Alligator mississippiensis: one gene and its partners. The protein of the gene in region 4 purifies or fractionates together with the protein of the main gene of each other region. This does not show direct contact. Links are inferred from orthologs where the notes say so. Each region holds a gene or a part of one and is shown on either strand. Other genes may lie near its edges. The genes, in order: MRPL18, HTRA2, RANBP10 and ARMC8.

Region 1 (7,793 bases), on a different chromosome or scaffold from region 4:
TTCTTACAGTGGAGATAAATTCACGGGAGAAGTGCATACTTTGAGCTAGGGTAAATTAAAATGCAATTATAATTGCATTTTTTATATAAATAAAGTTTCTGTTTGTCTGTACATGCAGATTATGACACAAAAAATGAATGCAAACATATAAACCAAAATGGGCTAACTTGTCCATGTTCTTTTCAGTTTTCAGTCTAGTATGGCCATGTTCATATGTAGTAGAAAAAAGTCTGATTCTTAAAAGTGCTGAACATTGTTTAACTTCTTTTGAACATAATGGAAGCTGGTGGTGTTCAGTGCCTTGCAGGGCTGAGCCCTACATTAAAAAAAATGTCATTAATTCATTCATAGCAGACTGGCTGTGAGGACAAGGAACACAGGCATGAACCTTTCTGGTCTAGGTTGCTGATCTGAATCTACCCCAGGCCAACAGGAGAAGGAGCTTATATGTCTGTGGATACTGAAGTTTTCTTTTGTGCTTTCTCCTGGAGTTTAAGCATGCTGTGCAGGCATCAATGCCGCAGTCGCTTAATTTATTGATGAGGATGGGGTGAGAGACAGTGAGATTAGGGTGTTACCAGATTGGGTAATTCATCACTAAGCACCCTAAAGAGAAATCCGCTCCAGAGCACAGATGTTCTATATCTTCAGACACGAACCAGGTGTCTCAAGCTGGGCATTGTTACAAGGCAATCACAGACAAGAGAAAATTCACATCTCTTGCTATGCAAGTTGTCTGTTAGTAACCCTAAAGCAGATGGAAAGTACCCCATAGTATCTTTAACAAGACTATGCCTCTGCATATCTGAAACAGGAAAAGTCACAGAATCCATGATGAGAGGTCACTTAGGGTCAGTCTCAACCAACTTGAGCCACATGTGCCACCCTTCCTCATCTGTATCTTACCTTGCAGCCTACACCAAAGCCATCCAAAGTATGTTTCCTGTCCTTCAAGCAGATCCCCTTGTAGATATCAGTCTGCAAATTACCATATTTTTCTTGCATGTAACATACACCCCTTTTCCAAGATTCAGCTGCTGGGAATTAGAGTCTGTCATAAACAGGGAAATAATGCCTCTACCTGAGGAAAGTGAAATAACACTGCATATCGGACAGCACAGCGGGGCTCCATAGCTGCTGGCTGTGGACACTTTCTCCCTAGCCGAGGCTCGTGCTGCAGAAGCTGCTACTCCAGGGGTGGGCAAAATGCGGCCCGCCAGGCCATTCTATCCGGCCCATGGAGCCCCTAAAAAATTTAGAAAATTTAATATTAACCTGCCCTGGACTGCCTGTCATGCAGCCCTTGATGGCTTGCTGAAACTCAGTAAGCGTCCCTCTGCCCAAAATAATTGCCTGCCCCTGTGCTACTCAGTAACTTACTATTTCAAGGAAAGCTATTTTTCCTTCCTTCTACTTTTCAACAAGGTACATATTTTATTTTGAGGCATGCTATGTGCAAGAAAATATGGTACTTGTTTCTCCTGCACATCTTGTCTCCAATTATAGACAAGATTTGAGGACAGAAAGGCTGAAAGTTAGGAAGAAGCAGCTTGAAAACAGCCACTGGAGGGACTCCTGTGCTTGTGGCCTACAGCATCTGGGCAATCTCCAAACATACTGCAGGGAGAGGTACACTGCAAGGCAGGCCTTTCCTCATATCCTGAAGTTCAGCAGAATGTTTGGGGCTGGGTGGACTGTGGCTAGCCACGGAGCTTAGGACAGCGATTCTCAACCCGCTCATTAGGCTCAAGGCATCCCTTGGAAAATGCCAGTTCTGAGCTCTCTAGGCTTTTTAAATTACAAAAACAAGACAGAATAGTTTTTCTGTTGCAAAGAACTCAGAAAGACCACAATGGGGCAGAATGTTTTTTTAACCTTAGGGCTTATCTGAAATCTGTTTCAGTCTTGCAAATCACGTCCACACACCTAGCAGTGCTAACATGGCTTGGCACCCCGCAGCACCCTTCAAAGGCTCTCAAGGCACCCAAGTTAGGAATCACCAGCCTAGGCTATGTTGACCCTAATTACCTGCATACACAAAGCCTAAGTTTGAGGGGGCCTCTGGTCCAACAGTTTTACTACGAGCACTTCCTGAGTACCACTGGAGATCTCAGATTTAAAAAAATGCTCCGGTTCTTAAACTCACTTATTGCCAAACAAGTCCACAACTCACCTACGCCAAAACTCTCTGCTGGGCCAAGTGGTTTCCCAGCCGCGCTCCTTCCTGGCGAGCGCCAACTGCTCCAGGTTCCGAGGGTTCCGGTTGGCGAAATCCGGGGCGACAACCTCGTTTTCACTTGTGTCCGCCTCCGCACCGGCAACTTCGAAGCTGGCTTTAGCAGATGTGAAACGAAGACCTTGCGGGGAAGCAAAAAGAAGAGACAAGGAAAAATAAGTTAGAAATATTAGAACTACTTCAGCCAATGGCCTCGCCTGTAAGATGTCAGCGACTCTGCGCGTCGTGGGTAAAGTCTAAACAGAACTCAAGCGATCGTAAGACTAGTTCCCTGCCCAACGGAACCCCCTACGCGGAAGCCCCATCCCCGGCACCTTCGCTGGCCCCACGGAGCCTGGCGGCGGCAGCGACACTCAACAACAGCGACCGGACACGGCTCCGCAGCGCCATAGCGGCGACAGCGGCAAAATGCGGCCGCCCGCACCAAGCTGCCTCCTGGGCTGAGCCTAGACTCTTACTAAGGGGAATGATCCGCTGCCCCGGAAACAGAAAGGACGTGAACTTCCGCCCCAGTAGCCGGGTTGCCTTCCGGGAAGCCTCGCTCTCGAGCCAGGGGGCGGGGCCAATCGGCTGCCGCCTTCTAGAACGTCCTGGAAGCCCAGCGCTGCACTCGCCCTGAGCCCCGCCCATGTCCTTCGAATCCCCGTGACGCCCGCACTCGCGTCTCCCCGCCGGCTTCAGCATCCAATCAGCGCCTGCAGCCCAGGCAGCGCTCGCCGGGCGTTATGAGGAGCTCCCGGATTGGGGCAACAGCCGTTTGACGTTACTGCCCTTCCAGACAGCCATTGGCTGCTTCCTCTCCTCTTCTCCTTCACAGTTCCCGGCGTGCCCTACGCTTCATCTCGCGGCTGCCGGCGTGGTGCGGGCGGGACCATGGCGGCGCTGGAGGGGCCCCTGGCCGTGCTAGGCGAGCGCAGCTCCGGCGATGCAGTCCGCAGCCAGAACGGTAACGGCTGCGGGGCGGAGCCAACCGCCGCCTGCCGGGGGGGAGGGGCCGCGCGGCTCCGGGGTCCCCTCGCTTCCGGGGTGGGGGCAGCGTTTGTCAGGTCTTAAATATGAAATTATCTTATTAGAAACTCAGAATTCCTGTATTTGCTGAAAAAAATATTGTACACTGGGCAATATACAAGTCAACATGCAAGGAGGAGGTGGTTGTCTCATTTACTCGATATTGCTCATTGGGAGTCGCTCCTGAGCAAGACCTGGGTCATCCAAGTGGAAGCGTTTCTTCATTTTGAGGCAAGGAGTGATAAGGAAGCACCCACGGCCGGCCCGAAAGGCAATTGAGGCTCCCTGAGTGTGAATTGGGGTTTGCATATGCTGCGTGTATGAGCTGCCTCAAAAACAATTGTAGGTTTTGAGCGCTTTTACTATTGTTAATTTTGCAGGGGTTGAACTTGAAGTAAATACAATAATTACCGTACAGCTAGTGATGCTAGTGGGGCAGGCTTTGGCCAGGCCCGTGCATGGAGCTGTTCGGGATGGGCAGTTATTTCTCTTCCATAAATAGAATTGAATTATCAGGGGGCGTGTTGAATTCACCACCCTCTCCCACTGCGACCAGGTCACAGGGGGCTCAAAAGGCCTAACATCTACCCCCGGTGCCTCCATGTTCCCCCTCCCCCTTATTTGTTCCCCCTCCCACGTGTACCTGCACCCCCTGGTCCCACCCATCCCTCTGCCAGCCTTTCTGGCTACCCAGGGAGCAGCTCTAGCCCTGTCTTGAACCCCTGCCACAATGGCCACTGCCTGGCTGGGTGGAGGCTGGAGCCCCCACGTGCTCCAGGCCAGATTGAGCCTGGAGCCGCAGCAGAAGATAAATGGCTGGGGCGCAGGGGCTGCTGGGGGAAGCATTCTGACCCCACACCTGGGTTGAAGTCGGAGCAGCCACCTACCCCTCACCCTTGCCTCCTACTTGAACCCAAGACAAGGGCTTTTTTCCCCGCCCCCATGTTGAATGGGGGAAAACTTTTCCTTGAATTCCATATTTGAAACAAGTTGTTACCAGAGCTGTGCACAAATGCACTGAAATGGGATTTCTTCTTGAAGTAAAAACTGAGATTAGAAACAGGAGATGGAGAAAAGTCATTCAAGATTTATTTCTTGATGACTCAGTTTCCACTAGTGTTCTTGTAGCGCCCCTAGATCGGGGTGGGCAAAATACGGCCCATGTGCCAGATCCGGCCCGCTAGGCCATCTACCCAGCCCGCAGGGCCCCTAAAAATTTAGAAAATTAATATTTATCTGTCCTTGGTTCCTGTCAAAAATGACAGGAGCCAGGAACAGTAGGACCCAGAGGAAGCCCTGGCAGGCTCCTGCAACAGCAGGGCCTGCCCGGCCTCAGCGGGGGCTTCTGGCCTGGGACCAGGTGGCTCCTCCAGCACAGGAAGCTTGGGTAAGAAAAGGTGGGTGGGGGGCATGAGCTGGTGCTGAGTGGGGGGGGGGGAGAGTGGCCCTGCCCCATGGCCTGTGCTCCCTGCTGCAGCCACTTGCAGCTTGCGCAGGGCTGTCCTGAGCAGACACGGGGCAGGGGAGGGGCTGCTTTTCCCCATGCTCAGTACCAGCTTGTAACCCGCCCCCGCTGCCAGCCCAGGCCCCATGCTGGCTCTGGGCTTGTCCGTTGGGGCTTTGCCACGGTGGCAGCAGCTGCAGCTCCCCTGCTTGCCATGCTGGGCAGTGTTTGCTGCTGCTGCCCGCCCAGAGCTCACACCACAGTAGGTTGCATTGAGGCTACCTCCACTGCCTCTGGGCTGCCCAGCAGGCTGTGAGCAGCTGCAGCAGGGAGCGTGGGCCACAGGGTGGGGGAGGGGCTGCTTTTCCCTGTGCTCAGCACCAGCTCATTTCCTGCCGACAAGCGCGGGGTCGGGGTTGCATGCTGCCCCCTGCTTGTACCGTAGGGCTCAGGGGGCACTGAGAGTGAGTGGGCATGGGAGCCAGTGGGAACACAGGGCCCACATTGGTGTCCTGGGGCCAGCACCAGCAGGGCCCAGAGCAGGGCTCCCTTCTCTCCCTGCTCGTGCAGGCCAGCCTGGCTCCACAGACCCCTGCATGACCCTGAAACATTGGTCCCAAGATATTGGGACATTGGTCCCAAGATGGTGATCAGGGGGCAGGGCACCTATAAAGGGGCGGGGCACCTGCCAAGGGGTGGAGCTACCCATGTGGCCCTGGACAGCTTGCCAAAACTGGGTAAGCGGCCCTCCACCCAAAATAATTGCCCGCCCCTGAGCTGGATCTCTCCCTGAAGGTAACCTGTCTGCCACATTCACTATTAAATAAAGTGAATTCACATTAATAAGAAATTTGGTACCGTCAGGTAAATACCAGTAGCAAGAACAGCTCTTTGTATGCACTGATTACAAAAAAATAGGAAGGGGTTTAGTACTTTTAGAATTCTAAAGGAAAGATCAGATTTGAACACTTCCCATTTGACTGCCACTTCCTCGATTTACAGATTAAGTGGCTATGCTTATGGGATAGAAAAAAAAGTGCCAGAGTCTGAAGGAAAAGATAGTTAATATCTCTTTCCTATATGAGAGAGCAGAACATTATACAATAAGACTTTGAATAATAAGTAAATTACATGCATTTAGTACATTTACAGTTGTGGGTTGATTAACTGTATTAGGCAAAAACAACGCTTAGTCCTGAAGCCAAACGAGGTGTCTTCGTGGTGTCCATTCAAATTGTGCAAATGGATTTGTCGTGGATCCTTATATTGTCACCCCAGTCATTTTCATTTCCCCAGTCAAATAGGCCCTGAAAAAGCACATGTGCCAAAAGTAGACAAAAATTATTTATATTCCAGACTTTTAAAACGGGGACTATACTTACAGGAATGTGGGCTTTAGAATTGGCTATTTGTGAAGAGTTACCTAATTACTTGCTGTTCTGTTTTTTACAGTTACAGCTGCAGCTACCATTGCTAACATTGTGAAGAGTTCCCTTGGGCCAGTTGGTTTGGATAAAATGTTAGTGGATGATATTGGCGTAAGTAGACATACGTCTCTGTCTTAAACTGTAATGAAAAGGTCTCTGCTTGCTTTCTCTCAAATTCATGCTATCTAGTAGGGACCTGTTCAGTCTGTTCCTGTGTAAAATGTTGTTCATGGTCTTTATGCATTTAGCAACTTGACCTCTTCAGTATGACTATGGAAGAGCATTCATTTTTTACTCTAATATAATAAAAGTCTTAGTCTGTCTGTCCATAACTGTTTATTTGCACTTTGATTGGTTGTAATGGCAGCCAATCAGTGCTCTGCACAGACAAACACACAGGGCAGGGCAGAGTGCAGCCCTGACACCATGATAGCAGGGACTGAGGGGCCGGAGCCAGAGGGGCGAGGCCAGCAGTGCTGGCCTAGCTTCTGCCCCCCACCCCCTGGCCCTGCTTCTTGAAGGCAGTGGCGGTGTGGGGTGCTGGTGGCGCAGCGCTGGCCTCGCCCCCCCCCCCCCCCCTCCGGCCTCACCCCCGCTCCCGTCTCACCACCACATCCAAAGGGTGGCCACGCCCCTCCCCCTCCTCACGGACAGAGAGGAGTGGGGGGGGGGGCCCACAGGGCTGGAGGTGGAGCAGTGGCACTGGGGTACTGGGTGGCAGCACTCCATCCCCGCCCATGTCCTCCCCTTCCTTCCCCCTGTCATCCATGACAGGCAGTTTGCTACTTTTTAAATAATAGCTTTGATTAGAAGTGACAGCTAACTTTTAATCAATGATGTGAATCAGACGCATCCTTTAACAAATCAAAACGTGGGCTCTGCCTACCTCAGATTCCGAAGGAAAGGTCAGGTTTTGTGTGCTTCCCATTTGACTACCACTTCCTCGATTTACAGATTAAGTGGCTATGCTTATGGGATAAAGAAAAAAGTGCCAGAGTCTGAAGGAAAAGATTGCAAATATCTTTTTCCTATATGAAATGGCAGAACATTTTGCAAAAAAACTTTGAATAACAAATAAATTACATTATTTGTTTAGTATTGCTAAGAGTGTGGGTTTATTAATTGTATACCCAGGGGCTATACCTCCCTTGGGCTATATGCTGTAGTTCCTCCTGCCCCAGCTGTGCAGGAAAGGGGGGTGTTGTGTAAGCTCTCCCCCCTGGGTTGCATTGCAGGGGCATGTGGGTCACCCTGCCCCCCAGGGCCAGACAGTGGGAAGTTCAGAGACCCTGGCATCAGCAGCCAAGGGAGTGATGGGGGAGTGGAGCCCAGGGGTTGCTAATTAACCCATCACAGTTGCCATTTGGGCAGTCCTAGTTTACATTCTGGGGCTGTCGTTGCTATAGCTACTGTGGCAGAATCCTCTAAGCAACCTGCACCAGTAGAAGGAGTTTCTCTGCTGCCAGGGTTATGCCACCGGCTTCCTTAAGAGTGTATTTGCCAAGAGAAACAGAGTTTTGCTAGGAGAGCTGTGTCGACAAAGAGGCCTTCTGGCTTAGCTTTGCCTACCAGCTGAGACAGTATAGCTTTGTCAGCGGAATTTATGTAACATTTATTTAAACTAGATTCTGGGCATTCAGTTTGTGTCTATAAACCACTGTATCCTTTTTAGTTTGGG
Region 2 (7,097 bases), on a different chromosome or scaffold from region 4:
ATAAGGGTGTTACAGTCTGACTGGGCACTGGGAGGCAGTCAGTCAGACCCCCGCCCGCAGGCCCCCCCAACCCACCCACCCACACTCCTCTTACGTTAATGGCAGCATCGGTCTGGATGTACTCCATGTTGTAACCAGGCAGCCCCAGCTCCTTGCTGCCCCGCTGTGCTGAGCTGACGATGCCGGAGGTGATTGTGTTCTGTAGGGAGAAGGGGCTGCCCATGGCCACGACAAACTCCCCCTGGCGCACGTCTGAGGAGTGGCCCAGGGGCAGGGTGGGCAGAGGGCTCTGGAGAGAAAGGGGGGGTCAGTGGGGCCAAGGACCAAGACACGTCGAGGTAAAGGCTGTGCGCCCAGGGGGCATCCTTGGCCCGAGCCTCCTGGACTCACCGTGGGCTCGATCTTGATGGTGGCAATGTCAGCCATGGGGTCCACATCCTGGACTACGGCATTGTAGAGCTCCCCGCTGGCCAGCTTCACTCGCACCCGCCGCCGATTGGCCACCACGTGGGCATTGGTTACGATTAGGCCGTCTGGGGACACCACGAAGCCAGACCCATTGGAGATGGGCACCTCCCGCCCCGAGTAAGGATGCCTGCAAGGCCAGAGGGCAGTGACCCCTGAGACAGGACCGGGCTGGACGCTGAGGGGGCCCCACCTGCGCTGCAATGGCACGTGCCTCCCACCCAACATCAGCCCCCCCAGGGACCCACACACAGCCACCCCATTGCCAGGGGCTGCCCAGGAGCAAGTGCCTGACCCCAGGAGGGGGGCATAGAGCAGAGGGCAGGGATTACTACGGGAATCCAAAAGCAGCCAGGCTGGCATGGCCTCCAGAGATCGCACCCTGTCCAGCTCCAGGAAGGATCTGCCCCACGAGTGTCTGCCTAACACAGTGATTCTTAGGCTTTTTAACAAGGGTTATATAAGTTAAGGACTGCCCAGGAGGAAGGGGCAGCAGCCATGAGGGATACTCAGGAACAAAGAAGAGCGGTACCATCTGAAACGTGCTCTCTCTCTCAAAACTCATGATCAAGGAACCGACTGCCTCCAGAGGGAATCTCCAACAGCCTCTGGACGATATTCGTGAGTAAGCTAACCGAGATCCAACTAGATATATAGCTTGCAGTAACTCAGATACAAGATCAAAGGCTACCCAGCCACAGGAGTTTGCTCTATGGGATTTCTCTGATATTGCTCTACCCTGTACCCTATTCTAACCCTGCCCTCTGTAACCAATACAGTTCTCCTTTGGGAGGGACTGGTGTGGGAGACTTATTGAAGGGTGGGTTTAATTATGCCCAGGAGGCCCCTTGGGTCTGCGGACTAAGGGAGACCATCCTTTTTGGCCCCCGACTTGGGGAAGTGCCCCAAGTTCTTGTATTGGGTCAAGTACCCGTAGGACTATTAGGCCTGTGTTTCCCCGAGGACACAGGGCCCAGACAGTCCCTTCTCGGGGTGGTAGCAGCACACGTTACCCCTGGACTCAGCAGTGGGGCTTGAAAGGGGGTCTGCCAGGGCTTAGGTGCCCCTGGAGAGACACGTGGAGCCTGGAAGGTGGACGGGCGTGGGGAGGTGGGAGGATCAACGCAGGAGCTCCCCCGCCTGGCCCGCCACACAGCCAGCCCCCGGAAACTCCCCTTCCCCTCAGTTTGGAGGCTCTGGATCCTGACTGCAATCTCTGCTCTGTCTCAGGAGTCTGCAAGCTGCAGTGTCCTTGTGTTGTGCAGCGCCCCATGGCCCTTGTGATCACAGACAACGAGGGTGGGAAGGGACCTCAGGTCACATCTAGTCCAACCCCTGCTCCAAGCAGGACCAGCCCCAACTGCATCATCCCAGACAAGGCTTTGTCTAATCAGGTCTTGAAACCCTCCAAGGGATGGAGACTGCACCGCCTCTCTGGGGAGCCTGCTCCAGTGCTTCACCACCCTCCTCGTGAGAGTTTTTCCTCATAGCCAACCTCAACTTCCCTTGCTGCAGCTTAAGCCCACTGCTCCTTGTCCTGTATCTGCCCCCACTGAGCACAGCCCAGCTCCATCCTCTTTGCAGCCCCCCTGCAGGGAGCTGAAGGCTGCTATTCAATCCCCCTCGGTCTTCTCTTCTGCAGACTCAATCAGCCCACTTCCCTCGGCCTCTCCTCACCAGTCCTGTCCCCCAGCCCCCAACCACTTTCACTGCTCTCCACTGGCCTCTCTCCAGTGTGTCCCCATTCCTTCTGCAGTGGGGCCACAGCTGGATGCAGGACTCCAGATGTGGCCTCCCCCGTGCTGAATAGAGGGAAGAATCACTGCCTCCATCCGCCGGCCCCGCTCCTACCGACGCACTCGGGATGCCGGTCGCCTTCCTGGCACGAGGGCACACTGCCGGCTCCTGTCCAGCGTCTTGTCCCCCATCGCCCCTGGTCCTTTTGTGCAGAGCTGCCCCCGGCTTCCCGGCCCAGCTAACATCCTCAACTCGGCTGCAAGCAGGGCGCGCCCCGCGAACCCTGCACCGCACCGCACCGGAGCGGCCCCGACGCAGGGAGCAGGGGCCGCGCGGCCGGCCGGCCGGGGGCGAGGTCAGACAGCGCCGGCCCCGGGAGCCCCGCCCGCCCCGCGGCACCTGCCCAGGATCTCCACGTAGACGAGCGCGGGCGCCGTCTTCTCCACCACGTCGGCGATGAAGTTGAAAGCGGCGCGGGCGCGGGCGGAGGTGGCGGCGGGGGGCGGCGCGGGCACGGCCGCGGACACGCGGGGCAGCAGCGCCCCGTCCCGGCCCCGGTCCCGGCCCCAGAGCAGCAGCAGCAGCGCCGCCCCCGCCGCGCCCGCGCCCAGCGCCGCCCGCAGCCGCCCGGGGCCGGGGCCGGGGTCGGGGTCGGGGCCGGGGTCCGGCGCAGCCAACAGCCCCCGCAGTCTCCCCCGCGACCCCGCCGCCCGCAGCAGCCGCAACACCGCCGCCCGCGCCGCCGCCACCATGCTCTGCACCAGCTGCCCTGCGCTTCCGGCGCGCGGCCTACGGGTCGCGGGAGGGCGCGGGCGGGAGCAGCCAATCGCGCACCGGGCCCGGGCCGCCGGGCATGCCGGGAGCCGCAGTCCCGGGAGGGGCCGCGCCGCGCCGCGGGGCAGGCTGGGTGTCGGGAGGGAGCCTCGTGGCTTCCCAGCCTGCCCCGCGCGGGGAAGATGGCGCCGGGCCGCGGGCCTCGCTAAGGCGGCTCGGGGCGGCCATGGAGCCTCCCGCCGCGCCGGGCCCCGAGCGGCTCTTCGACTCGCACCGGTGCGCGGCGGCCGGGGGAGGCGAGGGGGCGGGTGCGGGTGCGGGTGCCCGCAGGGGGTGCAGCCCGGGGCGGGGGGGCGGGTGCCCCCAGGGGAGGCAGGTGCCCGTGAGAGGGGCGGGTGCGCACAGAGGGGGTGTAGTCCGGGGCGGAGGGTGTGGTGTCTGTGAGGGGGGTGCAGCCTGGGGCGGGGGGGGTGGGAGCCCCTGAGGGGGGTGCGGGTGCCCACAGGGGATGCAGGTGCCCGTGCGGGGGGTGCAGCCCGGGGCAGGGGGTGTGGGTGCTCGTGCATGGGGTGCGGGTGCCCGTGGTGGGGGTGCAGCCCAGGGCAGGGGGCGTGGGTGCTCGTGCAGGGGGTGTGGGTGCCCGTGTGGGGGGTGCAGGTGCCCGTGCAGGGGGTGTGGGTGCCCGTGTGGGGGGTGCAGGTGCCCGTGTGGGGGGTGCGGGTGCCCGTGTGGGGGGGTGCAGCCCGTGTGGGGGGTGCGGGTGCCCATGTGGGGGGTGCAGCCCGGGGCAGGGGGTGCGGGTGCCCGTGCATGGGGTGCGGGTGCCCGTGTGGGGGGTGCAGCCCGGGGCGGGGGGTGCGGGTGCCCGTGTGGGGGGTGCAGCCCGGGGCAGGGGGTGCGGGTGCCCGTGCATGGGGTGCGGGTGCCCGTGTGGGGGGTGTGGGTGCCCATGTGGGGGGTGCAGCCCGGGGCGGGGGATGCGGGTGCCCATGTGGGGGGTGCAGCCCGGGGCAGGGGGTGCGGGTGCCCGTGCATGGGGTGCGGGTGCCCGTGTGGGGGGTGCAGCCCGGGGCGGGGGGTGCGGGTGCCCGTGTGGGGGGTGCAGCCCGGGGCAGGGGGTGCGGGTGCCCGTGCATGGGGTGCGGGTGCCCGTGTGGGGGGTGTGGGTGCCCATGTGGGGGGTGCAGCCCGGGGCGGGGGATGCGGGTGCCCATGTGGGGGGTGCAGCCCGGGGCGGGGGGTGTGGGTGCCCGTGTGGGGGGTGCGGGTGCCCGTGCATGGGGTGCGGGTGCCCGTGTGGGGGGTGCGGGTGCCCGTGGTGGGGGTGCAGCCCGGGGCGGGGGATGCGGGTGCCCGTGGTGGGGGTGCAGCCCGGGGCGGGGGATGCGGGTGCCCGTGTGGGGGGTGCAGCCCGGGGCAGGGGGTGTGCGTGCCCGGGGCAGGGGGTGCAGCCCGGGGCAGGGGGTGTGGGTGCCCGTGTGGGGGGTGCAGCCCGGGGCAGGGGATGCGGGTGCCCGTGCGCCGACATTGACGCTGGGCGGCCGTGGCAGGTTCCCGAGCGACGGGCTGCTGCTGCTGGCGCTGCTGCTGTACGCGCCTGTGGGGCTGTGCCTGCTCGTGCTGCGCCTCTTCGTCGGCGTCCACGTCTTCCTGGTCAGCTGCGCCCTGCCCGACAGCCTGCTGCGCCGGTGGGTGCCTGCGGCGGGATGGGGGCTCTGCCCGGCAGCCCTGGTTCAGAGCTGCCGCTCCTCGTCCGTGCGGCCCATCCTGGCATTTGTCCCTGCCCCTCGGCTCCCAGCGCGTCCCCCCTCCCCGCTCGTTCCAGTGCTTCCCAGCCTGTCCCAGGCCCCTGCTTGGGTTTGCCAGGGATCGGCACCTGGTGGGTCTAGAGGGATGTGCAAAGCCCCGCGTGGCCCTCCCAACGCTCCCACGTTACCGTTCCAGGTTCGTCGTGCGGGTGATGTGCTCCATGCTGGGCCTCGTGGTGCGGCAGAGCGACCCCCAGCTCCGTGGTGCTGGCGTCAGGGTGTATATCGCCAACCACGTGACCCACTTCGACCACAACGTTATCAATCTGCTGACCTCGTGCAACACTGTGAGTGGGGCAGGCGGCAGGGCTGCCCTCTCCCAGGGGTGGTGCTGAGGGGCCTGCTTCAGGATTGGGCCCTTGTGCTGTCCCGCCAGCCCAGAGAGTCTCCTGGGCTCTTGAGAGCAGGGAGGAGCAGAGCTCAGCTCAGTTAAGCTGACGGCCTTTGTGTGTCGCGCTCTGTAAGTAGGTTGGGGCAGAAGCAGGGCTGGGCACAGGGCTTCCCCCAGCACGGGCAGGTGGCAGCTGCCCAGGAAGCAGTGAGGGGCCGTAGTCCTCGAGTCATTTCAGTTTACAACTGAATCGGCACCTCTGATGGGGCTTCCGACAACTCGAGCAGCAGACGTCTCTGCTCGGGGGCAGCACTTGGTGCTGAGTCCTGAGGAGCGGGACAGCACCTCTAACTTGCCCCTGAATCTTCTCTTGCAGCCTGCCCTCAACAGCGCCCCCGGCTTCATCTGCTGGTCTCGGGGGTTCATGGAGCTGGGGGCGGCAGGGAGCCGGGCAGAGCTGGTGGATTCCCTGAAAGCGTATTCAGCCCATGGAGAAAACCCGCCGCTGCTGCTGTTCCCAGAAGAAGCAGCCACCAATGGCCGAGTCGGCCTGCTCCGCTTCAGGTAGCAGTGGTGGGGGCCTGCCTTGGGGTGGGGCCCCGTCTGTGCTAGCGTGTCCCTAATTATGGAACGCTTCCTTTTCAGCTCCTGGCCGTTCTCAATCTTGGATGCGATTCAGCCAGTCACTCTGCAAGTTCAGAGGCCCTTAATCACTGTGGTGAGTCCTGGGTGTGGAAGAGCCTGTCTGGGCTAGGGGTGTTGCCTGGCATTCGTTCCGCTGTTCCTCTGAGCCCTGTGGCTTGTGCTGCGTCCTGAGGTTCTTTTCAATTGCCTCGATCTCTGCCTTCCTAGCAGCTGCATTGTAGCAAATGTTTGATCATTAATGATCTGTCACCACGGAAACCGAACTGAAAAACACCGATGCTGTGTTTTGAGCTTCTGTTAGTCACAGCAGCAGTATCAATAAGCTCTCAATTGATCTGGCTGTCTGTCCGCTGCGCTTCTTGGTCACTGTTACAATAGTATGCAGGTGCCTCAGATTTCAGTGTTCATCCTTGATGCCCCTGGTGAGGAAGGGGAGAGGCTGAGTTGCCAGGGGTCCTGCGCACAGTTCGGGGCAGAGCAGGGGCTTGAGCATAGGCCTTTTGGCTCATAGCAAGGTTAGTATTGTGACCACCCCCCAGTTGCATGGGTTGCAGTGGAAAAGCTTTTGAGTTTTCCTCAATGAGCTCTCAAGGAACTTTTTTGTTGATGGGGCAGGGAGGCTGTGGAATCACCTTTTAAGGTAGGTTTCCAAGAAGAGGCTGGCCGGGATGTTCAGCGGTTGCACGTGTGCAGCGGGCTGGACCAGGCAACCCCTGAGGTCCCTTCCTGCCCTGTGAATCTACAGTCAGGCGATTTCATTAGACCACTCTTCTCCAATCCAGCTCAGACAGATGTGGCAGGAGCCAATGGAAGAGAAAATTGCTCTGTGCTGCCCTAACACGTAGGGTGGTTGTGGAGCTGTTACGTGGATCAGTGGGGACACCTGGTTTGGGGCAAGCAAGGAGCTGCTTGACTGTGGGTGTTTGCTCAGGCTAAAGATCAGGGAGCCAGAGGAGGCTTGGTTTGGCAGGCAAAGTTGTCCTCTCAGCATCAGGGGCAGAGGAGGCAGCAAGCAAGGAACCTGCGTGGAACAGCTGAGGTACATTAGAGCCCTGAGATGCCCAAGACTTGGCTGGTCTGACGCCCATTAGACCTGCAACTGGGAGTCTGAAATAAAGACTACAAAGGGATGGACACAAGAGGTCTGTCTGCACCTCAAGCTCTCTAGCTGTTGCTGAAGAGCATGGTCCTGTCCCCCTGCGTGTGTCGGATCTGGGAGCGAGGCAGCGAGGACACTCCGGGGCCTGTTGTTGCTGTTCTTGAGTATGCAGGGGCTGAATCCTGAAAGTGCTGCAGCCCCCTGCTCCTCCCCAGGCGCCTTTGCAGTATTGCTGGGT
Region 3 (7,911 bases), on a different chromosome or scaffold from region 4:
TTTATAATAATGTCCAGTGTACATTCATTCTGGTGTACAATTGTTGTTTGGTCTCTCCTACATATTTTCCATCGGGGCATTTGGTGCACTGGATGAGAGAGATAACATTTCTGGAGGTGCAGCTGTAAGATCCAGGAATGGTGATGTTTTTGTTGTGGGGTGTAGTAATTGTGGGGGTACTGGAGATACGTTGGCAGGTTTTGCATTTCTTGTCATGGTATGGTCTGGATCCATTTGGTTTGTTTTGGGCTGTAGGAAGGTTGGTTCTGGTAATGAGGTTAGCAAGGTTCAGTGCTTGTTTGAATTTCCAAACTACTTTTCACAGACAAGCCTAAACACCTCACTTCATAAATCTACTGGATATAAAAACTCATGGACTCAATATAGACATTAGAATTTTGACACACTACAACTTGCCTGACATCTGACTCCCCAGGTACCTCTCCACTTTTACCTGCTACATCCCTGCGCCCCCATCCTGTCTTTCACCCCCTGACACCTCAATTTACATTTTCACTGACTGGCTTTCTTGCCTGCAGCCCAGCCTCTAGGCTTCTTTACTATTCATTCCATTCACACCAACTGCAGATGCTTCCTCAGCCTGATGAAGGGTTTTTAAACCTGAAAGCTTGCTAAGAAATATTTCTCCAACTATTCAGTTGGTCTAATAAAAGATATCAGATTGACCCAAAGAGCCTTGTCTGCCTATGTCCTTAGACCAACACGGCTACAATTTACACCCCTTAATACACACAAGCGATATGAGTTTTGCTTTCAACAGGTTGAGCAGCACTTTCACAGAAACATCTGCACCTATCTCCTTGGGACTCAGCAGGCTTCATGCCCTCATAAGGGTCTACCATCCCTGCTGTGTTAATCCAAATTGGCAAAAAAATGACAAAATTATAGGTATTTTAGTGATTCCCAATTATAGTCTATGGCTGAATCTCCGAATCCAATTCGGCCGAATCAAATCAGAACAGAGACTTGAATCACCAAATCAAATCACTGTCCCTCTGAATTGGCCGAATCCGAATTGAATAGTTAACACTTCACACAGGCCTATTGAATTTGTCAGCCTTTTTAACATGTTTTTCATTGATTATCAAATTTCCAGCATCAAGTGCCTCAGAGAAATCACAGTGTATATAGTCCGTTTTGGATAGACTAATCTTCATTGCTCTTCCCTCTAGCACTTCTCTCCATTGGTCCAATCCAGTTTACACTTCCTCTAGACTCTCGTTACAAATGACCACATCATCTGCAACCATCATGTTCCAGGGTGGTCTCCTTCTTACTTGTTCAGTAAACATATCCATCGTGACTGCAAACAGGAACAGGCTCAAAGCTGACCCTTAGTGTATGCCCACCTTCACCTCAAAACTCCCTCTCTCTCTCTTGAACTGCTCCTCACTTTCAATGTACATTTCCAATACATGTCCTTGACAGTTCTGGCATATTTCTCTGGCACCTCCTTAACTCTCAGACACTCCCATATTTCCTCCTTGGGTACATGATTGTAGGCTTTCTCCATATCAATACAAATGAAATGGATATCTTTATCACCTTTTCTGTATTTTTCCATCATCTGTTTTATTGCAAAAACCACATTCATGATACTTCTCCCCAGCATGAATCTGTACTGGCCTTCTCCAATGACTATCTCAGTCCTTAGCTGATTCTCCACCACTCTTTCCCATGCTTTCAAAGCGTGAGACATCAATTTGACTCCCTGACAGTTGCCACAGTCTTGGACATTACTTTTCTGCTTGAATATCGCCACCAACACACTCCCTCTCCATTCATTTGGCATCTTCTCCATTGCAAATATCTCTTTAAACAGCTTACACAATATATTGATTCCTTCTTCCCCCAAGACTTTCTAAACTTCCACTGGTATATCATCAGGTCCTGTTGCTTTACCATTCTTCATTTTGTTCAGTGCTCTTTTCACCTCCATTCTGCTGATGTCAGTCACCATGCCTTGGTTTTCTGTGGCATTTGCTTGCAAACTTCTTGGGTTCTCTTTGTTCATCAGATCTTCAAAATAGTTCTTCTACCTGTCCTTAATCTCTTCTTCGTTCGCCACCAGTCTCCCAGACTTGTCCTTGATCGTTCTCACATTACATCTCTCATCAATTTCTCTTCTCTTAGCATTCCTGTACACTTCCTTCTGTCCCTGTTTTGTTTATAGCCTTTTATACATATCATCCGTTGCAGTGTTTTTGGCCTTAACAACAGTCCTCTTTGCACTCTTCCTCTCTACTTTGTATACTTCAAAGTCCAGAGGGTCCCCTGTATCTTTCCATTTCTTACACTTCTCCTTTTTCTCCTGTACCTCTTTCTGGACTTCCTCATTCCACCACTATGTTTCCTTCCTGATAGGCATCTTTCCAGATGGCGCTCCTCAGATTTTTTTCTTGATCTTATCCACCACCTGTTGCCACTAACTTTCAGGGTTTTCTATTTCTTCAACCTACTTCTTCCAACACTCCTGTTCTGAAGGCCTCTCTTAGTTTCCTTTTCCTGCTGCAACCTCCAGCACTTACTAAATATCAAGGAGTTGAGAAAATTATGTCTTACAGCTTTCACCTTCATGTCCATGACTACCATCCTGGGATCACCTTACAGTCTTTCACCTCTTTCCAACCCCATTTCCTCACTAGCAAATAATCCACTTGAGTTTCTCTAAGTCCACTCTTGTACACGATCAAATGTTCTTCTCATTTTTGGAGGAATGTATTTGAAATTGCAAGACAGTAAGATACTGCAAAATCTACTATCCTTTCCCCCTCTGCATTGAGGTCTCTGAATATATGTCCCCCATGTAGCAATTTCTACTTTGCCCAACTTATCCATTGAGGTCTACCCCCTGCCCCTATTTCACTGTCTGGAACCTGTTGCGTCATCTCATCCACCTTTTCCCAGTTCTCCTTCTCTACTGGATTCCCTATTTGTGGGACATACATGCTCGTCACGCTCATCAATTGGCCTCCATTGTCCAGTTTCAATCTCACAATCCTGTTGTTCTTCCTTTCAACTTCCAACATTTTGTCCTTCAGTTCTTTGCACAGGATCATCTTGACTCCATTTCTTCTGTCTCCACTGCTATAAATCCTCCACCAATCTCTCTGTTTCCTGCACACATACAATATGTACTTTCTTCCTTTCCAACAAGAACGCCACTTCTCTACCTCTTCCTGTCATACTCCCCACATTGAGTGTTGCAACTCTCAGATCCTTTCTTTGGACCAGCTTCTTTTGCTGCACCCATCCTTGGTGCGGTAGCAAAATTTGTAGATTCATTGGAATATGACAGGATTGCACCATAAGCACTTCTACTATAGCCTCAAACTTGCAACCTTTGGACTATCAGCCATGCACTTTAGCACCCACACCACCCCCATCCCTGTTCATGGGGCAACACAGCAAAATAAAACTGCCAACTTTTATACTAAGTGGCCCTGCTTCAAGATGTCAAGTTGAAAGATGCCATTTGTATGAAACATGAGGGTTTATCCTTTAAATACCAGAATGCAGCTGAAGCTTACCCAGGTTGTGACCTATGGCTGAATGAGGAAAGATACTGTGCAACTTTACCTTTTGTTACTGGATGTGTCCCAGCACCAACAAGGTTAGGCTGACGAAAGTATGCAGAACCTGGAGGCAACAGCCAATGCCAAAAACAGATAAATTGCTATAGTATCCTACTAGCTCTTATGTTATGGCCTGAGAAAAGGGAGAGGATCTTGATAAGAAGAATCCTAAACCTACTGGGGTTTATACCTTTGGGATTTGATAATTCAGGGACATCAATTGGATAATGTCTCTCTCATAGCCAACAGGTTTGGACAAACTGTGAATCATCTGGATAATAACGCTCTCAAAATATTAACAGTTGTTAAAACTTGTCCATCGGCTGCCGACGCACCTCGCCCTGAGCCACCACCCGCGGCCCGAGAGCGGGGAGCGCAGCGCTGCAGTGGGCCCGGGCCCGCGTGTCCCCGTTTCCCGCCCGGCCCGGCCGTGCCCACGTGCGGCCCCGCCGCCGTCAGACCGCCCCCCCCCGGTTTCGGCAGGTGCTGACGTCAGCAACGCGAGGGCTCCTGGCCGAGCGCCGCAGCCGTAGGGAGCCGCAGCCGTAGGGAGCCGCCGCCGCCCCCGCCCGCGCCCGCCGGCTCCTACCCGCGCGACGGCCCCCGGGGCCAGGCCATGCTGGCTCAGCAGCGGCGCGGGCTGTTTACACTCGGTCTCCCTAGAAACAGGCCCCGCCCCGCCCCGCCCCCCGCAGGCCCCCGCGCAGCTGCCCGCGCCGCGCCTGAGGAACGAGCTTCCCAGCGGAAGCAACGGCACAGCCCTGGGCGGCGCAGGGGGCAGGTCTCCTGGCTGAACCCATTCCCCGAGGGGGTCCCGGGGTCTGGCGCCCCCGGCAGTGCCGCCGTGCCCGGGGATGACGAGTGCCTCAGCCGCGGCCCCCTGCCCCGCACCGGCGTGGCCCCTGCCTCCGCCGCAGCCCCGCAGGGGAGCGGAGTGGGGAGCCGCGTCCTGCAGGAGAGGGGCGAGCGCACCCAGGGCGGTCCTGGCGGCGGGGGTGGGGCAGCCCGCGGTGCAGGACACCGGCGACCCATCGCCCCGCGCCCGAGCTGGGGAGCCCCGAGCCGGGCTGTGCGGAACAGTCAGTGACTAGCTCACGGGGCATTCTGGGACTCGTAGTGCAGGGCCCCCCTGGCCGATGCGAGCCGCCCCGAGAGCGAACTCCTTTTCCCAGCATGCTGCGCGGCGCAGGGATGGGGCGGGGCTTGTGGCGCGGAGCCTATCGGGAGCTGCAGTCCGCGCGTGCGGAGAGCGGCGCGTGCGGGACGGCCCGGGACTCTGTTTTCCGGCAGGCACTGCGGCCCCATTGTGGCCGGAGTCGCGGCCCATTGGCTGGCGGCCGGAGCCGGGCCTCGCTCCCCGCCCGGTGACACAATAGCGAATCCAAGATGGCGGATCCGGGCGCAGGAAGCTTGCACGGGGGGGACGCGGCGCTGCCGTGCCCGCCCGAGGAGCAGGAGCTGAGCCAGCGCCTCCGCCGCCTCTACCCGGCCGTGAACCAGGACGAGACGCCGCTGCCGCGGTCCTGGAGCCCCAAGGACAAGTACAACTACATCGGTCTCTCGCAGGGCAACCTGCGCGTCCACTACAAAGGTGCCGGGGGCTCGGCCGGGGTCGCTGCTGTCGCCGTTCTCGGCCGCGACAGCCGCGGGGGCCGCTGGGGCGCGGCGTCGGGCCGGATCCGGGCGCCGGGCTGGGTCGGTCGAGCGGCAGCCTTCGCCCCGCCGCTAGAGGGGGCCGCGCCGGGGCCCGGCAGCCTCGGCCTCCCTGCCCGCAGGGGCTGGACGGCCCCCGGATGCGGGGCGCGGCGGAGGGAGCTCGGCGATGCTCCTCCGCCCCGGGGGAGGAGACAGTTTCGGGACGGGGGGGCCTCTCGGCTCAGGCCTTGCAGCCGGCTGCGCGAGGGCCGAGCACCCGGCCCGGGAGCTCCCCTGCCCTAGGGAGAGCTCGGACGGCTCCGAGCCCAGCTCCCCGCCCCCCTCCTGTGTGGAGCCTTATATAACACTTTGCAGTGTCATTAGCTTGGGCTCCCGCTGCTCCCCCATGCTGCCTGGCCCTGTCTTCGTTCCCCAAAGGGCTGATATCTCGTCTGCTGCTGCTCCTAAATACAAGCTTGCAGGGGCCGGGGGTTGTTTGCACTGAGGTGGGGCCCCTTCAGCACTTGAACTAGTGAAATTGTCAGGTTCCCAGCTCCAGGGCCCCACTGGGAGCTTTAGTTGTTCCTTCCTCATTATGCTGAGGGCTGCTTTCTCCAGTATCCACAGCGACCTTCTTCTTGTTAGCCAGTAAACTGCTGCCGCTTGTACCTTGAGCCATTTGCTCGTTGGCTGTTTGTGCGCTGAGGCCTCTGCGTTGGAGGGAGCCTTGTGCTTCTGTCTCAGAACCTTAAGAGTGGAGACAAAGGAAAAACTACAGAAGCACGTACTGTAGGCCATGTACATGGTGGCAGTGCAGGATCGTATATTTTAAGTGACTGAGGAATCCCTTTTATTTCCCTGCTTGCAGAATTACTTTTGCTGTTGCAAGTCCTTTCCTCTGTTCAGACAGTGTAATTTCAGAACACAAGGCCTTGAGACCTCATAGCCCTTAAATATTCACTTTTCCATTGTTACTTAGGTCATGGAAAAAATCACAAAGATGCTGCTTCAGTCAGGGCCACACATCCCATACCTGCAGCTTGTGGCATTTATTACTTTGAAGTGAAGATTGTCAGTAAAGGTAGAGATGGGTAAGTACACTGCTCCAATTTGATTTTACTGGTGGTTACATGCATCTTCTGTGCTCACTCTTGTTTGCTGAATGGGTTAGAAGTTTATTTGACAGCTGATGTTTGTAACAGACAGGTATGTGTTAGTGGGTTATATCTGCATAGTCAACAGGTGGCACACCAGTAATATGTATTGGAATGAGGTGCCCTTATGTAGCTGCTCCCTACATAGTTCTATGTGGGCAATAAGTACTACTCAGGAAGTACTAATCCTTTAAGACAATTTCAATTTCACCGGTGTTTACTTTGTTTCAGTGATGTCTGCTTGGTATTCAGACAGCTGGAAATGGGAGGAGAGGAGGGACCTGAGAGAAGAATATTAGATGTCCTTGTTAGGGAACATATAGGAAACCAGTCCAAGTAACTTCACACAGCATGGAAAAATTCTCTATTTCTAAGGTCTGAAAACAGACAGTCTATAAGCCTAAGAATTTCTTTTCATGATTTTTTTCATCAAAATGTGTGGAGGCTTTTTTTTTAAATGGTTATGGGGACAGGGCTAGGGTTAGGGTTAGTGAATTGAGGGATCAAGAGGAGCCATTAACTAACAGGGAGTAGCTACTGTGTAAGCTACAACTCAAGAGTTAGATCACTAGCTCTGTTCATCAGCCCAGTCAGTCTTCTGAAAGACCAAATTGAAAAGTTAGGACATCTTTGAATTGGTTGAGTGACTATACTGTTTTGATTTGGTTCCTGCTTTTCAGACTGGCTTGAGGCAGCCTTGATGTTTTGAAATGAAGTGTAAGAAGGTGCTTTTAGATTTGGAGGAGCTGTGAACATTATGTTTTGACTGTCATGCTTTCTGGATGGACAACAAGTAGCAGTAATTGAGCTCTGGAACATTAGCTTCTCTCATCTTGTCTGGAAACTGCTTATGAACAGCCAGGGAAAGGATTATTTAAAATAGAGAAAAAGAGGCCTTTGTAAATGTATGCAGGATCTAGGTGTTTTCTATCATTAGTTGAACAGGTGCTGGCTTATGACAGGCAGCAGTTGTGCAGGCTTGGGAAATCCTAGTGTTGGACACAAAATACAAAAAATTGAGTTCTTCCAATAGATGTAACTTTTGATATACTGTAGGATACTACCAGCTAACTGCATTTATTCTCTAATCCAGGGGTTTTCATCTAGGGGTACACGTATCCCTGGGGGTACTTTGGAAGGTCCCAGGGGGTATGTGGCAGTGCATTTGAGGAGCCACTGGCACTTCGGTTTTGTCGCTGCACAGGGGACCCTTCCCCCTAGCTTGTCAACTGGCTGCTGGGGGACTCCCTGCTTCTTGCCTGGCTGCTGGGGGTACCCCGACCAAAAAAGGTTGAAAGCCTCTGCTCTAATCCATTCTCGTGCAGAGCAGCTAGAAGCACAACAAAGGCAGCATATCCTGTCTGGTGCTAGAAGCAGAATATGAACCATGTCACTTTGCAGTATCCACAAATAGGCAGCTCACTGAGTGGTGTTGTTGACTGCTTAGTTTGGCTTCTATCCAGCCTTCTACTTGATTGTGATCCCTACATAAGGTAATGCTCTGGACGAAAGTCTAAGAGTGTATG
Region 4 (7,251 bases):
AGGGAAGTCAGCCAGTTGTGAATGCTCAGCATTTAGCTACTTCAGGACTGTCCAGCTGGCAGCCTATGGGCCACATGTGGCTTGCAAGGGGTTTAGTTGTATTCCCTGAGCTCCTCTGGCCACTGTTCCTCTATCACTGGCTGCAACAACATCTGGGGGCTCTGGAGTCCCCCTCCCTCCTCCAGCTTTCACTTGTGCCTCTGCCTCAGGGATGGGGTAGTGCAGCATAGTATAGGATAAGCCTAGAGGCATGTTGTGCAGCAGCAGCGGGGGGTGGAGGGGTGCCTATGTGAGCGTGGAGTGCAGTGGTGTGGGGGAAGGGGATGTCCATGCAGTACATTCCCCAGGACTAAGTGGCTTGCCCTGGTGCAGCCCCTAGGCACTTAGAAGTTTGGATAGCCTTGATCTACGTGACCAGAAGTGAACCTACTCTTGCACTTGACCGAAAAGGTTAGTGGGCTGGCACAGCACATTCCCCTTCTATGTGTTCTCAATTTTTAGATTAGTCTTGCCACATAAACCAAATGATTCAAAGTCTTTTTTCCACCTCTGGACCTTCACACATGTGGTTTGCAGGGGTTCTCAGCCTGCCTCCCATCCAAGGGCTGCTGAGACCAGTGCACTACTACCCTCTTTAAGTCCCTATTGCCTTGTTCCAGTGGCATCCACCATACTAAGATGCATCTCTTTCTGGTCTATACCACACAGGTTTGCTGGCACAGCTCGGGTGCTCATGCTCACAGCTCCCTTGGGCAGATCTGCTTCTCTCTGCCAGCTTACAGAAGCAACCAGAAAGGGCATGCAGAACGCTCATGCTTCCTGCCAGCTGCTGTGGACCCTTGAACAGTCGGTGCATCTTAGGGTGCACTGCTTGCACAGCTGGTATGGTTATATAACTGCCTGGATTTAAACAGAAAGGATGAGTTTGTTTCTTGTTCCTCTCATCATTGTCCTTATTGTCAGGTGAGGAACTAGCGCTAGGCACTTCCGATCCTCTGTTTGGAATTGCCTTAAATTTATAACAGTTCTTCTGTGGACAATAATGTAGTGGTACCAGAATGCCTCATGCATTTTTAGATTATTGCTGTTTCTTTTAGATTACAACAAAAGTTAGTATTTTTTTTTCCAACTCCTATGGTATTTTTAATGGTAGCCAAAGTTCTTACTAGTCCCTAAGTGCAGGACTTGGCCTTTCATATGATTAAACTTCTACTTACAAGATAATCTAAATCCTCCTGTATACAGTCTGGTCTTCCTCTATATTTATGACCATCCTCAATCCCCACCCCAGTTTAGTACCATCTGCAAATTTCATGGGTCTGAGGTTGGACTTCTGCATTCTCTCACTCCTGACTTAGTCCTTTTGGATAATACTCCTGGCAGTCACTACAACCATCTCAGCATATTGGGATTTTATGTTGAACAGGATCAGTTCTGTTCTCTCAGGGGAGATGACAGCATTACCTAGTAACCATAGAACAGCTCCCATAAAACAGAATGATCATATTTTCTAGCATGCCACATGCCCAAAGTAAGGTATATGCCTTGTTTGGGGAAAGCGGAATGAAAGAAAATTGTTCTAGTAATGGCTGAATGCTGACTGCAGAGGATCCTGACTGCAATGATTGTGGCTATGAGAAGGTTAATATTAGTTCTGACTGAAGGGTGGACTCTTCACCCTCCCACCCTAAAGGTAGCAGAGAGAGAAACCTGGCAGACATCTTGCTGTGCTGTCTATTCTTGCTTCTATTCCAACAAAGAAAAACCAGCAAAATCTATTTTGGGGGGCTGATTTTTGGAGGAAAAGGTGCTTGTGATATTGAAGTGCCTACACTATTCAAATAAAATAATAATGTAAAATGTACCTCAACACAGCAAGCCCTTTAGATGCATAATGAACTTATCAGATGGTCACTTATCCAGACTCCTGCAGAGCCTGTTTTCATTGGTCACGGTCTGCAACTTGTCAGTTGCTGAGTGGAGTCATCTGTCCCTTGTTCCTCTGATCAGGGATATTATTGTAGATAATCTCAACACCTTTTATTTAAGGCCTTTTAACCAGGTTGCACCAGTCTGTTCTTTTCTTTTCCTCTTGGGGAAAGGGGGTTGCATGAGGGGCTGGGCATGCATTATTTCTGTGTTGGGGATTTGCATTAGTTACAGAAACTGAAAGTCAGTGGGTAGGAAACATTCCTGATCTTACCTGTTAGTGATTGTTTAGCTGGACAAACAAGTTCCAAAGGATGAATATAGCATTAGGCATTACGAGTTAAGGGTTAGATGAAGCAAGGTAGGTGGACCTAGAATTTGTGGCTATTTTGATGAGCAACACAACAAAAGTCATGTAAAGAGATGCTAGTGAAGACAATTGAATCCACTTGGTCTGACCGTGAACCTAGAGAAGAAAAAAAATAATGATCATTGTACCACTGTTAGTCAATGTAACTGTGACAACTGGGAGAAAGCACTTGAAGCTAGTGAAACAATTAGCAGGTTTGTGCAAAGTTATGAGCAGACACTGATCAAGAAACATATCAGCCTCCAGATTAAGGAGGAAGTGATGCAACTATATATTTGATTTATAGCTAAATAGGGTAATGAAACCTGAGTCATCAAGACCAAAAAAATGGAAGTTTTCTCAATGTTTTATCTAAAAGATAACTGGAATATCCTCAACAAAACTTGTGAACAATGATTAAATCTAAGAGAACTGGATGGAAACTTCTCACTTTCACTATTGGGAAAATACTTGGAAAGGGGGGGTAGGCATGCTTTGTGTATGTCAAACAAACTAGTTCCAAAGAGGCATCAAAGTGGACACCAACATTTGAAGAAGTGAGGAATAAGGCAAAGTTGATGGGATGCTATCAAAAAGTAATGGGAGATGATTGGGATGAATTGCCTCAGCTAGTAGCTGGAAGACTGGACAGCCCAAATGTGCTGAAATGAATGATATGGTCTAACAACTAAGGAAAATGTCCCAGGAAGTTTTCTGTCCAGTGTAATGATTCTGTCCCTAATTGATGTAGACTTTCATATCATTCAAGAAGAAACAGCCTGATCTTTCTGGGGTACCAGCAGGGTTGCAAAGCTTTTACTTAAGATCTCTTTCTAGGTTACTTCCTCCTCCCTGCAGCTGATCTAGGTTGGCCAGTCTTGGATGTTCCTTTCTAGCTTCACCTTTTTTGTTCCCTAAATACTTGCTGCCTCTTCCTTGTTCTTTGCTGTCAGCAAGGCTCCACTCAGCCCATCATTTCTGGGATGAAATCTTAAGTGCCACTGAAGTCATCCCCAAAATCTCTGACCAGTGAGGCCAGGATCCCAGGTCTCATTCCTTCATGCTTTAACATCCCTTGGCCATAAGTTGCTGCTTCCACTCATTTGACCATTTCCAAGCAAACATTTTTGTTGCCTAAATTTGCTCCAGCACTTTGAAGCTGCTGGGCCATGAGGGAGCTGTTTCTTGTTGATTTGAAGGTAGAGAGAACAAACCATGTTTCTTCTCAGCCCCATCCTGGAGCAGGGGGCCCTGCTCCCATGTTTGGTACCAGGTTGGGGCCTGGGACAGGGGGGCTGTATTCACAACCCGGGTCAGAGAGGTAGAGCTGTGCACCAGGCCTGTGTCACATGCTACATTTATCACACAATTCACCGGTGAACGGCACATCAAACTTGGACTGGGCACACCCACCACATGGCCATCCACTTATGAAAAGAGCTGCAAGACGGCTACAAAGCGAGTGCTTGAACAGGGGTAACAACTCTAGGTCTGGGTCCTACCCAACTCTCATTGTAAGGTGTGCCAGAGTCCCTGATGCCTTGGCACGGCTAGGGGCGTCAGCAGATTCCACACACGACGGTGCCTCGACCCAGCAGATTCGTTACACCTTTCCCGCCCTGGGGTGTTTTATGAATGAACGTACTACGCATGCGCCTCGAAACGCGACCGCCAGTTGAGTCTAACTCTGCCCCTTCCCTTCCCCTCCCCGGCTCCAAGGCAGCTTGCGCACGCGCAGATCTGACCTACAGCCCTTCCTCGGTGCGAGGGCAGCCCGCACATGCGCAGGAGCTCTCTCCTGCGCCGCTCGGCGAGTCAAAGGGCCCGTGGCGGCGCCTGCGCACTGGGCCGGGCCGGTGGAAGGCAGCTGGCGTTTGGTGCCGGCCGATTCGCGCAGGCCGCTCGGCTTGGCCCGGCGCTGGGCCCGCCCCTCCCCCGCGAGCGATGCGGCCCTGCCCGGCGGCGGCAGCACGGGGCTGACGGGAGGCGCCGCCGCCGCGCTTCCAAGATGGCGTGTGTGCTGGAGGCGCCGCTCCGCATGAGCGTCCTCTCGGTGAGGCCGCCGGGCCGGGGCGGGAGCGGGACTGGAACGGAACGGAACGGAGCGGGGCGGGGCGGGGCGGGGCGGGCGGCGCGCTGCGGAGCGGCCCCTGGGGCGGGAACCGGGACTAGCGCCGCCGCCCGGGCCGGGGTGGGCTGGGCTGACAGCGTCTGCCGCTCCCGGCCCGCCACATCGGTCGTTCTGCGCTCCGCTCCCCGCCCTGCCCTCGCCGCTCTGCGCTCCGCCCGCCGCCCTGCCTGGTGCCCCATTTGCTGCTCTGTTCCCGCCCCACCTGCTGCTCTGCTCTCCACTTGCCCCCTGCCTGCTGCTGAACTGCCTGCCTGCCTGCTTTACTTACTGGCTGCTCTGCAATGTGCTCCCTCCCCGCAGCGTCTGCTCCCAGCCCTGTGCTCCCCACCCCATCTGCCCCTCAGCTTTACACTTGCCACCCCACCTGCTGCTGTGCTTTCCCCTGTTCTGAATCTGGTGGACCACATGCAGAAGTGTCTTGTGCCCCTTGAGGCAGCTATGCCCCAAGTTGGCCACTCCTGGTTTAGTGGATAGTGTGTCTCAATGTTAAATGTAAGAGCCAAAGTAGTGTTTGTGTCCTGATACCACTTCTGCCTCATCATTGGCCATCCCATGATTCAAGGACTATCTCTACCATGGGTCACTGATCTTAGGGGATCTTAGGTGATTTAAGAGTCTGATCCTTGAGCCACAGATTTGTCAATTTTTGCATTAGATAGTTAAAGGGCTGAGAGGCATTTGGATGTTACCCTGGTGTCTTTCCCATTCTCTTGTCTACATCATGTTTAATTTTGGATTTCTTCTCTCCTTTGAAGTGAGAGCTGTAGTATTACTTTCTCTTTCAGAAGAAGCTCCTCTTGCCTTGTTCTACCTGCATTTATGCTGATCCTTGAGGAGGAGTTGGGTCTGCGCTTCCTGGAGGCCTGTATTTTTGCTAGGTAGAGCTGGGCAAATAAAAGACTACTCGGTTCGGTGGTTGAAGAAGAGGAGTGTTCTCAAATTGAAGCAGAACTTTGTTTTGGCATAAGCAAAACACATGTTCTGTTTCATTTGCAGGCACTTTATCTGCTTTGTGCCCCTTTTAAATCATAGGTCACTTCACATATAACAAAATGCCTTTCAAAGCAAACCGTTCTTCTGAAAATGTTTTGACATTAGAAAAAATCTTCCATGTTGCCACTGAAATAAGTGGATTCAGTGGGATTTCACAAGTAGTTTGGGTTATTTCAAAGCTCTGTTTTTCTGGCAAATTTTTACTGTTCACTGAAAACATCTTGCCAACCTCTTGTCTTGTTTGTAAAAACTGCTGTACAGGGATTGTAGAGCACTCTTGCCAGTTCATTGCCAGGAAGTGGAAATCAGCTTGGCAATAGAAGCCTGATCCCTTTGCTCTTGTAAGTCTTCTGGGTCTTCTCAGGTGGCCTAGTTGCTGTGCTTTGTAGTGCAGGGAGGAGGCACATCCACTGCAGTTGCCCTTTGATCTTTTGGTGGGGTATATTGCTTTTAAGTGGATATTGAAAGGGATGCTTTCATTCTTTGCCTCTGGGACACGTTTGTTTACTGACTGCAGTTGTGTCCCATGTTCGTAAATCCTAGCTTGCCAGCCTCAAATGGTATCTTGCAGTAACTGTGTCTTAACTCTTATGAAACAGCTTTTAGGTAATGTCCTGCCCACTTGGCATGAAATGGTCTAGAGGCCAGTTGCCACTTTTATTATAAATAATCTTAGTCTGTTTTGGTTTGCTTTTTCTCACTAGGTAAGAAGACATTGTATTTGATGGGTATAAAATTTGCCTTGTACGCTATGTCCAGCCTGGGGTATGCAGTGATAGCAGCTTTGGCTGTGGCTTTAGGTACAGGGAGATAGCTGATCTGGCATGGGGCTCAGCTCTGGTTTCTGCTGCCTGGCCTGTGCTGGAGCTGAAACTGCAGCCACTGTACTTGCCCTGTGACATAGCAGCAACAGCTACAGTTCTGGCATGGGCAAAGGGGTGATGATGAGGCCACTGGCAGAGGAGTTAGGACTGCAGCAGTGATGACACAAGAAGTAGCAAGGAATGTATCAGCCCTTGCTCACCTTTCTGCTGCCAATCCCCATGTCCATCAGAACCCAAGGATGCTTGATACCAGCTGGGGTGCATCGCATGCTGCAGAAATCTGCCAGTGTCCTGACACTCCTGCTTTACCTGAACTTTAGAGCTGGTCAGCAGGCTAGAAAGCAGCAGATTCTAGCTTTGGAAGCTTAATGAAGGTCTGGACCTAAAATCTATCTGGGTCCTGCCTCACCATACATGCCCTGCCTCACCTGGGCTGTGCTGAGACTATCCTGCTCCCTTGGGCTAGATAACCAAAGTGACGTAATAAGCAGAAGCCATTCTTGAAGGAAATGTAGATCTAGATGCTCCAGGTGGTTCATCTTCTGCCCCTTGATGCCACACTGGTCTGGAGGAGGGCAGTACCACACCAGAAATCCAGCTGGATAAAGAGGTGAAGGTTTAGTCCAAGGTCACTTGCCATTCCAAAAACAAGGCAGAGCTTCCACAAATCACCTTCATTCTTTCAAGGAAATTCATCAAGGAAGAAGGTAAAAGCTTAATAAAGGAAGAAAAGGCTCAGTTGACAGACCTTAACATCTTTTATAAGGGTGCAGGCTAAATTTTCCAAATCTGATGCCCTGAGCTAGCTGCTTACGTATGGCTTTAGGAAATCCTTTAATATGTGGCCTTTTTTTTTCAGGAGTGCTGAATACAAACAAATCCCAATAGGTCAGGGAGACCTGCAGATGCCTGGTACTTTTGAAAATCAAGCAACTTTTAGTGTAGCGTATTAATTTATCAGAAAAAGTATTGGAGAAGGCTTTGCTAAGATACAAGAAATGCTTTTTATGAATGTAGGCATGTAT

The links.
Region 1: the proteins of ARMC8 (region 4) and MRPL18 purify together in Homo sapiens (affinity purification with mass spectrometry; 3 studies listed by BioGRID and IntAct, with this or other methods). This does not show direct contact. The link is inferred for Alligator mississippiensis from reciprocal best matches to the Homo sapiens genes ARMC8 and MRPL18.
Region 2: the proteins of ARMC8 (region 4) and HTRA2 purify together in Homo sapiens (affinity purification with mass spectrometry; 5 studies listed by BioGRID and IntAct, with this or other methods). This does not show direct contact. The link is inferred for Alligator mississippiensis from reciprocal best matches to the Homo sapiens genes ARMC8 and HTRA2.
Region 3: the proteins of ARMC8 (region 4) and RANBP10 purify together in Homo sapiens (affinity purification with mass spectrometry; 5 studies listed by BioGRID and IntAct, with this or other methods). This does not show direct contact. The link is inferred for Alligator mississippiensis from reciprocal best matches to the Homo sapiens genes ARMC8 and RANBP10.

The regions. Positions count from the first base shown.
Region 1 is NC_081824.1:137,784,071-137,791,863, reverse strand, and holds the start of MRPL18 (large ribosomal subunit protein uL18m), read right to left. Parts: upstream 3,016-7,793; 5' UTR 2,921-3,015; coding exon 2,695-2,920; intron 2,689-2,694; exon of another isoform or gene 2,627-2,688; coding exon of another isoform or gene 2,551-2,626; intron 2,358-2,550; coding exon 2,174-2,357; intron 2,158-2,173; exon of another isoform or gene 1,082-2,157; intron 979-1,081; exon of another isoform or gene 1-978. Other genes in the region: TCP1 (T-complex protein 1 subunit alpha), read left to right, coding at 3,110-3,182, 6,141-6,226. UniProt on the Homo sapiens protein: Together with thiosulfate sulfurtransferase (TST), acts as a mitochondrial import factor for the cytosolic 5S rRNA.
Region 2 is NC_081825.1:370,972-378,068, forward strand, and holds the start of HTRA2 (serine protease HTRA2, mitochondrial), read right to left. Parts: upstream 3,001-7,097; 5' UTR 2,955-3,000; coding exon 2,602-2,954; intron 596-2,601; coding exon 391-595; intron 290-390; coding exon 95-289; intron 1-94. Other genes in the region: lipid droplet-regulating VLDL assembly factor AUP1, read left to right, coding at 3,203-3,252, 4,527-4,664, 4,921-5,071, 5,492-5,679, 5,761-5,833.
Region 3 is NC_081833.1:34,362,338-34,370,248, forward strand, and holds the start of RANBP10 (ran-binding protein 10), read left to right. Parts: upstream 1-4,901; 5' UTR 4,902-4,982; coding exon 4,983-5,187; intron 5,188-6,210; coding exon 6,211-6,322; intron 6,323-7,911. Other genes in the region: TSNAXIP1 (translin-associated factor X-interacting protein 1), read right to left, coding at 4,186-4,214. UniProt on the Homo sapiens protein: May act as an adapter protein to couple membrane receptors to intracellular signaling pathways.
Region 4 is NC_081830.1:29,556,488-29,563,738, forward strand, and holds the start of ARMC8 (armadillo repeat-containing protein 8), read left to right. Parts: upstream 1-4,248; 5' UTR 4,249-4,286; coding exon 4,287-4,331; intron 4,332-7,251. UniProt on the Homo sapiens protein: Component of the CTLH E3 ubiquitin-protein ligase complex that selectively accepts ubiquitin from UBE2H and mediates ubiquitination and subsequent proteasomal degradation of the transcription factor HBP1.